3 linked regions of the Xenopus tropicalis genome follow. The protein of the gene in region 3 interacts with the protein of the main gene of each other region in a biochemical or structural test. Links are inferred from orthologs where the notes say so. Each region holds a gene or a part of one and is shown on either strand. Other genes may lie near its edges.

Region 1 (3,655 bases), on a different chromosome or scaffold from region 3:
CAAGACATGATAAGTGTATGAATAAGATCTGTCATTATCTCCTGGCTCATAGTTCAGCTTAGGTGCTGCTTATATTCAGATGAAATGCTACTGGCTTGGTACCATGGAGCTCGTTATTGCCATTGATCTATTTAATTGAGATACAGGTATCGGATCACTTATCCGGAAACCCATTATCCAGAAAGTTCCGAATAACAGAAAGGTCATCTCCCATAGGCTCCATTTTAGTCAAATAATTAACATTTTTAAAAATGATTCCCTTTTTCTCTGTAATAATAAAACAGTACCTGTACTTGATCCCAACTAAGATATAATTACCCCTTATTGGGGCAGAACAGCCCTATTGGGTTTATTTAATGGTTAAATGATTCCCTTTTTCTCTGTAATAATAAAACAGTACCTTGTACTTGATCCCAACTAAGATATAATTACCCCTTATTGGGGGCAGAACAGCCCTATTGGGTTTATTTAATGGTTAAATGATTCCCTTTTTCTCTGTAATAATAAAACAGTACCTTGTACTTGATCCCATCTTAGATATAATTAATCCTTATTGGAGCAAAACAATCCTGTTGGTTTTAATTCGTTTCATTAATTTTTTTAGCAAACTTAAGGTAGGAGATCTGAATTACGGAAAGATCCCTTATCTGGAAAACCCCAGGTCCCGACTATTCTGGATAACGGGTCACACACCTGTATTAGGTATTCACAAGAGATCTCACTGAAACAGCTCTAAAGTGGTTAAAAATGTAGTGTATTTGTTTGTGGCCCAGGGCAGTGCAAGTCTGACTAGTGACCTTACAGCTTTACAGTTGGTTATAGAGCTGAATTCGGTTTGGAGCAATGACCTTAAAGGCATATCATAGGATGCTTATTTCCTATTTATTTGAGCTAGAAGGGGGGAGAGGTAAACCTGCCTGCCTGCTTAGGAAGATAGCATAGAGAGAGTTGTTGCCCTTTACTATGCTGTGGTCCTTGCTAGGCAGGTCTGTCTAAGCCATTGGTATGATATTGGGTGACCAAATTCAGCAAAAGATGCTCTCATTTGGCCAGTTTCAGGCTCCATTCTTATAATGCCCCATGGCATATTATGATATTGGTGATTCCTGTACTGTGTGGTCATAGTTGTTTTTGAGCTACTGCTCCCAGCATTCTCCCAGCATTGTCCAATGGATCAGCACTAAAGGAAACAGGCTAAAGGAAAGCAGTGGCAGAGGTTGGGAATTTATGCCATTAAATTAGTATTGGATTGTGTTACATTGTGATATTAAAGGGCTTGCCCTTCTGATGGCTAAATTATTGCTGCGTTGTCCCTGTGCTGATTTCATCTTCTTATTCTCTGCAGTCAATGCTGTTGCTGGCATACCTCATACGGAATGGATCGGAGCGGGTCGTCACAAGCGCCAGGGAGCACATTTATGACTTGCGATCCTTGGAAAATTACCACTTTGTAGGTGAGTATTAGAGAGAGAGAAAAAAATAGATGCGTGTATTGGGGGGGGGGCTTAACAAGGAAAGGGGAGCAAATTAAAACAGTTGTTGGACTTGTCACTCACCCGAACGTCTTCACAGACTGCAGAGACCTAATTGGCCCCGAGCTGCTTCAGGCTGTGAAGAACAGATTCCAAGATATGGGGCCCTAGAGTATTAATTAGCAAGGAAAAAAACTTTTGCCGAGAGGAAAAAACCTAATAACAACACAAGCAGCACAACATGACTGGCCTAGGTTTATATTAAAATATGCACCAGAGGATGGTCCCCTGTGGCATTAGAAAGAAAAGGGAGTGCTTTAATTATACTCTGGGAAAAAGTCGGTCCTCCAGTACAGATGCATTGCTGTTTGAAGCTGGGTCTATTCTCTTTCACTATTCCCCCACCCAAGCCTTAACCAAATAATATTTACAGTGCAGAGGAAAGTTGGGGTGTGTTTTGAATGCATTAAAATTTATATTTAAAAAAAAAAAAAAAAAAAAAGAGCTGGTAAAGGGGTAACTGCCAGAATCTTGCTCTGCTCGCGTGGAGTAGCTGTACCGCGCAGAGGCAGGTTATCAGTAATTAGGAGTTGGTGGAGCGTTGTGTGTTGTCTGCCCAGTAAAATGTGTTAATTTGCTTGAAATAAGCTCTTTGAGCATGATTTAACATATTCTTTAGCAGGGGAAGGAGCAGAGTTGCATTAATGAGCACTGGTGTCATTAATCCTCTTCTTTATCCACCCCATGTCCCCACATCTTTACTTTAAAACCCTTTATTTGGCAAGCACACTAACAGTATGGCATGTAAAATGTGTCCATATAAAAGGGTTGGTTGACTCTAGACTTCTAGAGTGCTTGCCTACTGTCAAACTTTATGCCTGAGTAGCATGAGTAGAGTTGATATTACAGCAACTCAATAAAACATGACAGCTCCTTTTTCAGATTTAATGCCCATTTTTAACATTACAATTTACATATAAAAGGCAAACCAGACTTTGGTTAAGCTGGCCATACGTGAACCCCTCCAGTCTAAGCCAGCAGCTCATTGGCTTGTGTATGGGGGCCTCTGAAAGGCTTGTCCAAATTGATCCTATTGGGCATGTTTGAAAATCTCACTTGATAATGAAGTGGTTAATAATGGATGAATGAATAATGGATAATAATTGGACCCCAGTGGGTCTCTCTAGGCCTGTATTATGATCAGATTAACTGCAGGGCCAAACAAGTGGGTTAGCCTCTTTTGGCCCACCACATGGGTGATGAGATTGGGCAAAGAGTGCAAAGTCTTTGATATATAGTCTTTGATTGCCATAAACTGGAAGATCTTTGCTTGTCAGTATTGATCATGCAGGGCCATATATGGAATAATAAATATTGACTGTTTTATCCTGAAACACAAAACGTGTTTGGGCCAAATACAGATCTGATGGTATTTTTTCTCACCCCCGCACCAGATGAAAATGGGAAAGACCAAGGCATTAACATTCGGCAGAAGGTAAAGGAAATGGTTGAGTTCATCCAGGACGATGACCGTCTCAGAGAGGAGAGGAAGAAAGCCAAGAAAAACAAAGACAAATACATTGGAGTGTCTTCAGAAAGTGCCGGGGGGTTCAGATACAGTGAGTACCGTGTGTGTTCTGCACGTAGCGATGAACGGTGGGCTCTTTGTGATTATAGCATGGCATTCATGGGCATACTGCAAGGAAAGATCTCCTCTTACGCACAAGGACCAGTAAGCATGCATACACAGGAAAGATTTTTTTTATTTTTCTTTGCAGTGGCTGATGGTCTTTAACATGAAAGGCAAGAGGGTTAACCCACATAGGTGGTAATGAAATATGTATGTACATGGAATATACCTACTGAAGGTCAAACTGGTTCACCTCCACCCTTTAGTATTCCTAGTGTGTAGGTTCTTGAAAAGGAACACACAGTGGGCCTTTACAGACATCATTATTTTTGGCTGTCACTGTACCACTTCATCTAAAGCCTATACCTCTACATGCATAAATCTGGCATTGCCTCTGTCAGGAATGTCCTGCTGGGTGCCTGCATTCCTATGCGGCCTTTAATCCCACTGTGTTAAATGGAAATACACAGACATCTTTTCTTTGCGCTGGTACTGAGTATTTGCATCACAGCCTTCTAAAACAGTGATCCCCAACCAGTGGCTCAGGAGCAAC
Region 2 (3,655 bases), on a different chromosome or scaffold from region 3:
AGACTGGGCCAAAACGTCCCCTGCAGCACAACCTCACACTGCACTTATGCCCAAAATCGTCCCGTTGACCCTGTGCGCATTTTAGCACCGGCTCTGCAATGGGGGGGGGGGGGGGGTGTGATCCCTTAATTCACCAATCCTGCAGCATAAAGGGTTAAACGTCCTACTCACCACAATCACTCTGCTTCCAGCTCTAGAATGGAACGCATGTTAACATGCAGCAAGGGGCAGTATTTTCAGCGCAGAGAGAGGGAGTCAGATTACGGCGTTAGGACCCTGCGGCTCCGGCAGGCTGCCCAGCTGTGCGAGTGAGTGTGGCCCGGTAGGGGGGAAGCAGGCACAGTCGCACCCCTCTCTGTCATTCTCTCTCTCTGCCCCCTCCAACACACCTACAACCTGATCGATATCACAGCCTGGGAAATGGGCTGCTGGAGCTTGTCAGGTGAGATACGGGTGGCCCTCCTTACATGCGTGCGCGCACCTGCACCCAAACGAACGCGCACCCACGTCCGGCCACGGGGGAAGGTGGTGCGAGTCACAACAGCCAGCACACCGACCAACAGCACATACGCGAGTATAAGCCGAGGGTTAATTTTTCAGCACATTTTTAGTGCTGAAAAACTCGGCTTATACTCGAGTATATACGGTACTTATTTTTCTACTCTACTGGTTCTTTCCTGTTCATTTACAAGTCTCATTAAACTCTCTCAATGCACCCCAAGCAGCAAGACCTATTTTTAATTCCCTGTGTTAAGAGTGACATCAGCAGAGCAATGTGCGCATGCACAGTGCAGATTCTGTGGCTTTGGCAGTGGTTGTGCACATGCGTGCAATGTTACTTCAGGATTGAAAAAATTTGCAGCAGTGCGATGGCGCCGCATATCCCTTGGCCAAACATAGTTAGAAGTTGACTGCTCTGCTTGAGGGTTTTCCGATTTACTTGGAAAGCAGGCAGAACTTGATGGACATGTGCCCGTTTTCAACCTTATCTACTATTTATTAGGTAACTTCATAAATACTAAATAATAAACACAAAGCTATTATTGAATAGTACCTGCAAAGCCATGGTCCCATGTGGAATCTGGGCCGCATATCCGATTCCCATCATATTCTGCATGCTTGGTTGCATCACTGATATCAGCGGAAACCCTTGAGGTTGCTGTTGCATCCCACCTGTACCAAAACATACCAGTGTCACCAAAATTCAAAAAAGACAAAAGAACGGACAACAAGTATTAAATTTTTCATGTGTTTGTACACACTGCACAGTTCATTTTTCCCAAGAGTTGTGAAAGTAATAACCACCAAAAAACAGCTAGTACTTTCTGATTGTCCCTGTGTTATTTAAATCACTCATAGACCTATGTAGAACCCAGGAAATAAATTAATCAATGTAAGTGTATCCTTTCTTGAAATGCAATATTTCTCTTTCTAACATTAATACACAACAGACAGACACAAATGGTGTCAATGAATGGTAGACTATGATCCAAACATTTATTGTAATTTTATTTGCAGTATTGCACAAGCTTTCGAAAATAAACCACTCTTTAGATTTAGTATACACACGAACATTTATGTATATATTAGAATACATATATAGGTATGGGACCTATTAACCAAAATAAACCCAATAGGAATGTTTTGCCTCCAATAAGGATTAATTATATCTTAGCTGGGATTATGAAAAGGCACTGGTTTATTGTTACAGAGAGGAATTTTCAAAAATCAGAAGTATCAGGAATAAAATGACCATTTATTAATTAATAATAAAAAAAAAAAATCTATGACAAGCAAAGGTTATGGGTATCTTACTGTCTCTTAAAACCCCCCTCACTGTTAGCCACAGGGATCACTATTTTCCACTGATATTATTAACAATAAGTTATAAAGCGCCAACATATTCCGCAGTGCCATAAAATAAGTGGATGTATACCATGAACCTACAGATTAAATACAAAAATAACCTGTACAAGAAGTAGAGAGGGGTCCTACCTAAAAGAGATTATAATCGATGGGTAGCTCTAAGATTCACCCTATATAGACAATAACTGCAGGTTCAGAGTAACTGTCTGAAGTACCTAATTAAGTATTTATTTTTTTAACAAAAAAAAAAAGTGTTATTTTTTCTGCTGCACAGAGAATTTGATGTTACCGTCTATTCTGAGGAGTCCTGCCCTGTTTTATGACTTAGATTCCTGCTGTCTTTGTGCTTTGAAATGCAAATGTCACAGAAACCTCTATTGAAAACACTTGTTTACACAACAGTGCATTTCAGAGATGTTTTTCAGGCCTAAGTGGGCTAGGAGACCAAAACAGAATGAGGGACAGAAAAACAGCATGGGAGGGGGAAACAAAGACATAAAAGCTCAGGAGAAATTAGAAAAAAGGGGTAAAATACATAAAATAAATCTTAGGAGAAATGAAAAAAAAGAAGAACAAAAATATGGATGCCCTGCTCTGCCTACTCTCTATTTATTTGAAAAGCAGACACTCCTCACTTCCTGTCATTATCCTGACGACGATCCGCGTAGATTTGGAAATCCAATAACGTTTTTTGTTTATACCGTACATGCCGTGAGTGCTTTCTATGGAGCAAATATGATTACTCTCGCGCACCCGGCCTTCTACTACAGCGTTTGGTGAGTGCCGATGACTGGACTGTGTATATATATATATATATATATATATTTATTATATTGAGGCTATTTGCACCCACGAGTGCACACAAAGCTGATATCCGCTGACAAACGCAAGACTTGCTGCTTGTTGAAGGATATCGGCTGCGTGTGCCTGCACCTGGGGGTGAAATCAATGCTGGCACAACTAGAAGTATTTTTAATAGAGACTGACAATCCACCTTGTGTGACCTTGTACTTAGGGCAAGGGCATACGGAACGTATATCTGCTTCTCTCAGCCCTGCATTTTTCCATCAGGCTGAGAGAAGCAGATCCACTTCCCTACGCTGCTCCATGTGTCTGCATTGAAACGACACTAACCACCTCAGTGCAGGCACATGCAGAGCGTAGGTTTACCTTTAAAACTCGAGTGAAGTGTAGGTCCGCCTGTAAAACACGACGTGGATGAGGGTGCTCGCTGTGGTGGGCCATCTGAGTGCCTCCATGTGTTTCGGTTTTTATAAATTGGGTTTTGTTATATGGGTTTTTAAATAAATTTAGCATTTTTCTAAAGGAGTGCCCTGTTCACTGTATTTACTGATGGAAAAACACAGGGATTATAGAAGCATTACATTACATTAACATTTATTTATAAAGCGCCAACATATTCCGCAGCGCTGTACAATAAGTGGGTTACATACATTGGACATACAGAGTAACATATAAAGCAATCAATAACTGATACAAGAGGTGAAGAGGGCCCTGCCCAAAAGAGCTTACAATCTACAAGAGCTACGCTCTGTGTGCCCTTGCCCTTAGTGTGACAAAATATGACCTACGAAGTTTGACAAATATTTAAAAAATATTTTTGGCTCTCTACAGTCAAGGTCTAAAGCTGGCCATACACAGTAAGATTTGCATGTTTGGCAAAGTCACCAGATGAGCAGATCTTTTCCCCACCTAAGGTGGGTGATATTGGAGTTCTCTCAAGGGCCAAGCAACTAGATAACAAAAATGGGAATAGAAGCCATTGGAG
Region 3 (3,655 bases):
CCAAACATGTCAGAGGACTCACATACAGGGAACAGACGGCAGCAGATTGTTATTTCTCAACTGGCATATAAACTCTAGCAGATAAAGACGACCTGTGTACTATTAGCCTAAAGGTTTAGAACAGCTAGAAAAGGGGATTTGCACAGGTTAATGCAGAAAGAAGAGGCAATGGTGGTCTATTTGCAGGAGCAGTTATTATGCAAGGGGGGAGAAAAGTGATTTTAAGCAAAAGATCAGATCTGATGTGACACATACCCGTAGACCACTCTCTGACTTTATGTCCATGATTGTTAAGACAGTCTCATATAAAATGGCATTGCCGACATTTTTACTAGTCTCTGTGTTGGTTGCAACCTAAAAAATAACAATAGCACAAGAGGAAAATAACTATATAACTGATGAAGTGCGTCATCTAGAACACACAGCACTATTACTCTCGTTCCACACAAAATCCACAAATCAACAAACCAATACTACACTTTTGTAAGTCCATTCAGTCAAAAACAAATCTTTTAATCAACTGCTATACCAGGCAAAAATACAGAAGTTTATTATCGACCGAGCTGCATTTGCTTGCTTACCTGTGCCAAAATATCATTCATGGCTTCACTTGAATCATCATCATTTCTGCCTAATATCCTGAGAAGCCGCAATATCCGAACCTTAAACAGTCCAAAAAACAAGCAAACAAACAAACAAAAAAAAAAAACAGTTATTAGGTAACCAAGGTCCCTCTTAGAATTTAATAAAAATGCTTCATACCGTCACTGAGCTTAAACACATACCCACACTCACCTGCAAAAAGGGGTCACTGATCCCAGACACATCATGTTCTGGAGAATACCCGGACATGATAAGGTTTTTAAGAATACGAACTAACTGGGGGACAAGCTGGAGGGGGAAAAAAAAGGTTTGATAGACTCAAAAAACTTTATCTCAAAAAGCTAAAATTTATATCAATGTGGATCAGTCTGCTCTCAAAGCAAATACACATTATATTTCCACCAGAACACAAATCTGACCACAACAGACAGAGTGACTAAAGCTACAAAGTAGGCATTAGTTGTAAACTTCAGATTGGGTTGTGTGTATGGAGATCAAGGTAATACGATTCAGTACGACAGGCACAATGTTATGGTTTAGGAGTATAAGCCACGGAAGGACAAGATTTACAATGGATCCCTCAGTAAATCAAGTTTTTGTTCTGTTATTTTTTAATTTGGGACAGGGGTGGTAAAGGAGGCTAGTTTTTAGCTTTACAAAATATCTAAAAAGACTGATAAATAAGTTACACTTGTGGAGAGTGATTTCATTCATTCAATAGATCAACTATCTAGGGCAGAAACAACAGTGAAATACAAAAGAAGAAGTCTTACCTTTTCATTCTACCATTCAGCAGGATCCCAAGCAAACAGAATAAAAGACAGGAAGCAGCAATTAGGGACACTGATCTGCAGAGCATGCATGTGGGTGCTCTGATGTGAAAATATTTTAGATAGCTGTCACATTCAAAAGGTCTGATATTTTAAGATGTTTTGCAAACAAAAGGTAATTTTAAGCTACCCAGAAATATCTAAAGAACCACTCAAAGTGTCAGTTTTTAATTCGGTAGTTAATCGTGACAAAACAGATTTTCCTTATTTTGGCACAACTATACATGTCCCAAAATGCCAGAATAAATTACCATTCCACTAATACTAAAGCACAAGCCCCCTAGTGATTGAGCTACTGTGAAAGAATTGTAATAAAGGTCAGAGGGGTTGCAGAAAGTATGCAAGAGAGTCACTCAAGTACAGACTAACATAGGCTGCCAAGCAACAGCACAGCAACAGAGCAAGTTGGATGGGAGGATTAAAAATCAGAGACCTATGGCTTTGTTTAAGAAAGAAAAAGAAAAGTGCTTGAAATGGTTATGTGAAAGCACGGCTAGGCTTATTGAGAATATATCTATTGTGTCTTTGATTGGACAGTAGAAAACTGCTAATATATAACGAAAAGTGAAGAAAAAAAAAAGTAAATTGTTAAAGTGCTCTGAAAAGCTCTCTGGGCAGTTTTACATGAATATGTTTAGGAGTGTTTAGTCCCACTTTAAAATTATGATGTTAAACAATGACACTTTTTAGAGCAACTAATAAGGCCTTAACAATCAAGCCTTTGAGGATCCACTTGGAACAGCCCTGGACGGTCTTTCCTACATTTCTAATTTTTTTTTTCATTCTTCACATTTACATTTACCATTTCTCAAAAATGTTTAAGAGAGGCTGATGACCTCCAATGAAAAAAAACACATTGAGAATGAAACTAAGGCAGATGGTAAACAAAAGTGAATGAAAAGACAGACAAAGTGGAAGACAGCGGCATAACTATAGAGGAAGCAGTCGCAGGGAGGCCTGGGGAACAGGGGGAGCCCTCCAAAGATATGCCGAAGGGGGCCTCGTAGAGTGTTGTTTTACCACTGGTGGAAGAGGATCTCTAAGCAGCATTTAAATGATGGGGAGTCCATTGAATGAATAAAAGACCTGATCAATAACAGGTGGCCACAACAGAAATATACAGTGGACCTCAATAGTTTGTGAACCCTTTTGGATTTTCATTTTTTCTGCATATATTGTGAGTTATAAGATGATCTGTCTCATGCAAGTCCTAAAACTATGTATAGAGAACCAAGTTAAACCAATCAGCCAAACACAATGCATATAATGATCCAAAGTTACATAAGTGTGTTTGGCAAAGTATGTGGCCCTCTAGAATTCTCAGTTCCTTTGAAGGGGATATTTGAGTTTTAAACAATGGCATGATAATCGGGATAATTATCATGTGATGCTCTGCCTTATCTAGAGAAATCTGGGTTTGTGGCTGTGTGTTAAGGCTTAAACAGAGATTTCTTAAGACCTCAGAAAAACAGTTATTGATGCTGTCAAGGCTGGAAAAAGCTTTAAAACTATTTCTAAGGAGTTTGGACTACACTTGTACAGTTGTGGTCAATCAACAAATATCATCACACCAAGAGTAAGGTATTAATATACTGCAGGGAACTCAAACAACCCCATTTGCATTGGCAAATGTCAGTAGGGCCAAACAATCAAATTAGCCTAAAATTGCCAACCTTTAGGTGGGCATATCGGGAGACGATCTGCTCGCTTGGCGGCCTCACTAAACAAGCAAATCTTCCGGTGTATGGCCACCTTAAGTTTGTAACAGTGAACCTCAACCAGTGGCTCGCGAGCAACATGTTGCTCCCCTTTGATGTTGCTGTCAGTTCCCTCCATGTAGGTGCTCATTTTTTTAATTCCTGGCTTGAAGGCAGGATTTAGTTGCATGAAAAACTTGAATACTGCAAAACAGAGCCTTGTCGGTTGCCAGTCCACATAGGAGTTACAAACAGTCAATGACAGCACATAATGGACACCCCCAGGAACTTTTTGCATGCTCTTCACCTTTTCTTATATTTTAACATAGCTGGTCTACAACATACAAAACTTCACATTAGTAGGGGAAATCCACCCTTGATTATTTATTACTTATTATTACTAACCACTAGGGTGGTGCTGGCAGTGGTTAAAAACCTTTTGATCACATCAGTGAAAAAACATGCACTATTCCACACAGTGCCATATATTTTAAATATATTTAGTGATCCTTGTGGAGGAAATTT

The links.
Region 1: the proteins of ap1g1 (region 3) and clint1 form a complex in vitro, tested with the Homo sapiens proteins (2 studies listed by BioGRID). The link is inferred for Xenopus tropicalis from reciprocal best matches to the Homo sapiens genes AP1G1 and CLINT1.
Region 2: the proteins of ap1g1 (region 3) and synrg form a complex in vitro, tested with the Homo sapiens proteins (2 studies listed by BioGRID). The link is inferred for Xenopus tropicalis from reciprocal best matches to the Homo sapiens genes AP1G1 and SYNRG.

The regions. Positions count from the first base shown.
Region 1 is NC_030679.2:13,971,010-13,974,664, forward strand, and holds part of clint1 (clathrin interactor 1), read left to right. Parts: intron 1-1,345; coding exon 1,346-1,454; intron 1,455-2,926; coding exon 2,927-3,091; intron 3,092-3,655. UniProt on the Homo sapiens protein: Binds to membranes enriched in phosphatidylinositol 4,5-bisphosphate (PtdIns(4,5)P2). May have a role in transport via clathrin-coated vesicles from the trans-Golgi network to endosomes. Stimulates clathrin assembly.
Region 2 is NC_030678.2:74,825,682-74,829,336, reverse strand, and holds part of synrg (synergin gamma), read right to left. Parts: intron 1,174-3,655; coding exon 1,055-1,173; intron 1-1,054. UniProt on the Homo sapiens protein: Plays a role in endocytosis and/or membrane trafficking at the trans-Golgi network (TGN). May act by linking the adapter protein complex AP-1 to other proteins. Component of clathrin-coated vesicles.
Region 3 is NC_030680.2:59,348,097-59,351,751, reverse strand, and holds part of ap1g1 (AP-1 complex subunit gamma-1), read right to left. Parts: intron 1,386-3,655; coding exon 1,377-1,385; intron 892-1,376; coding exon 796-891; intron 663-795; coding exon 582-662; intron 355-581; coding exon 256-354; intron 1-255. UniProt on the Homo sapiens protein: Subunit of clathrin-associated adaptor protein complex 1 that plays a role in protein sorting in the late-Golgi/trans-Golgi network (TGN) and/or endosomes.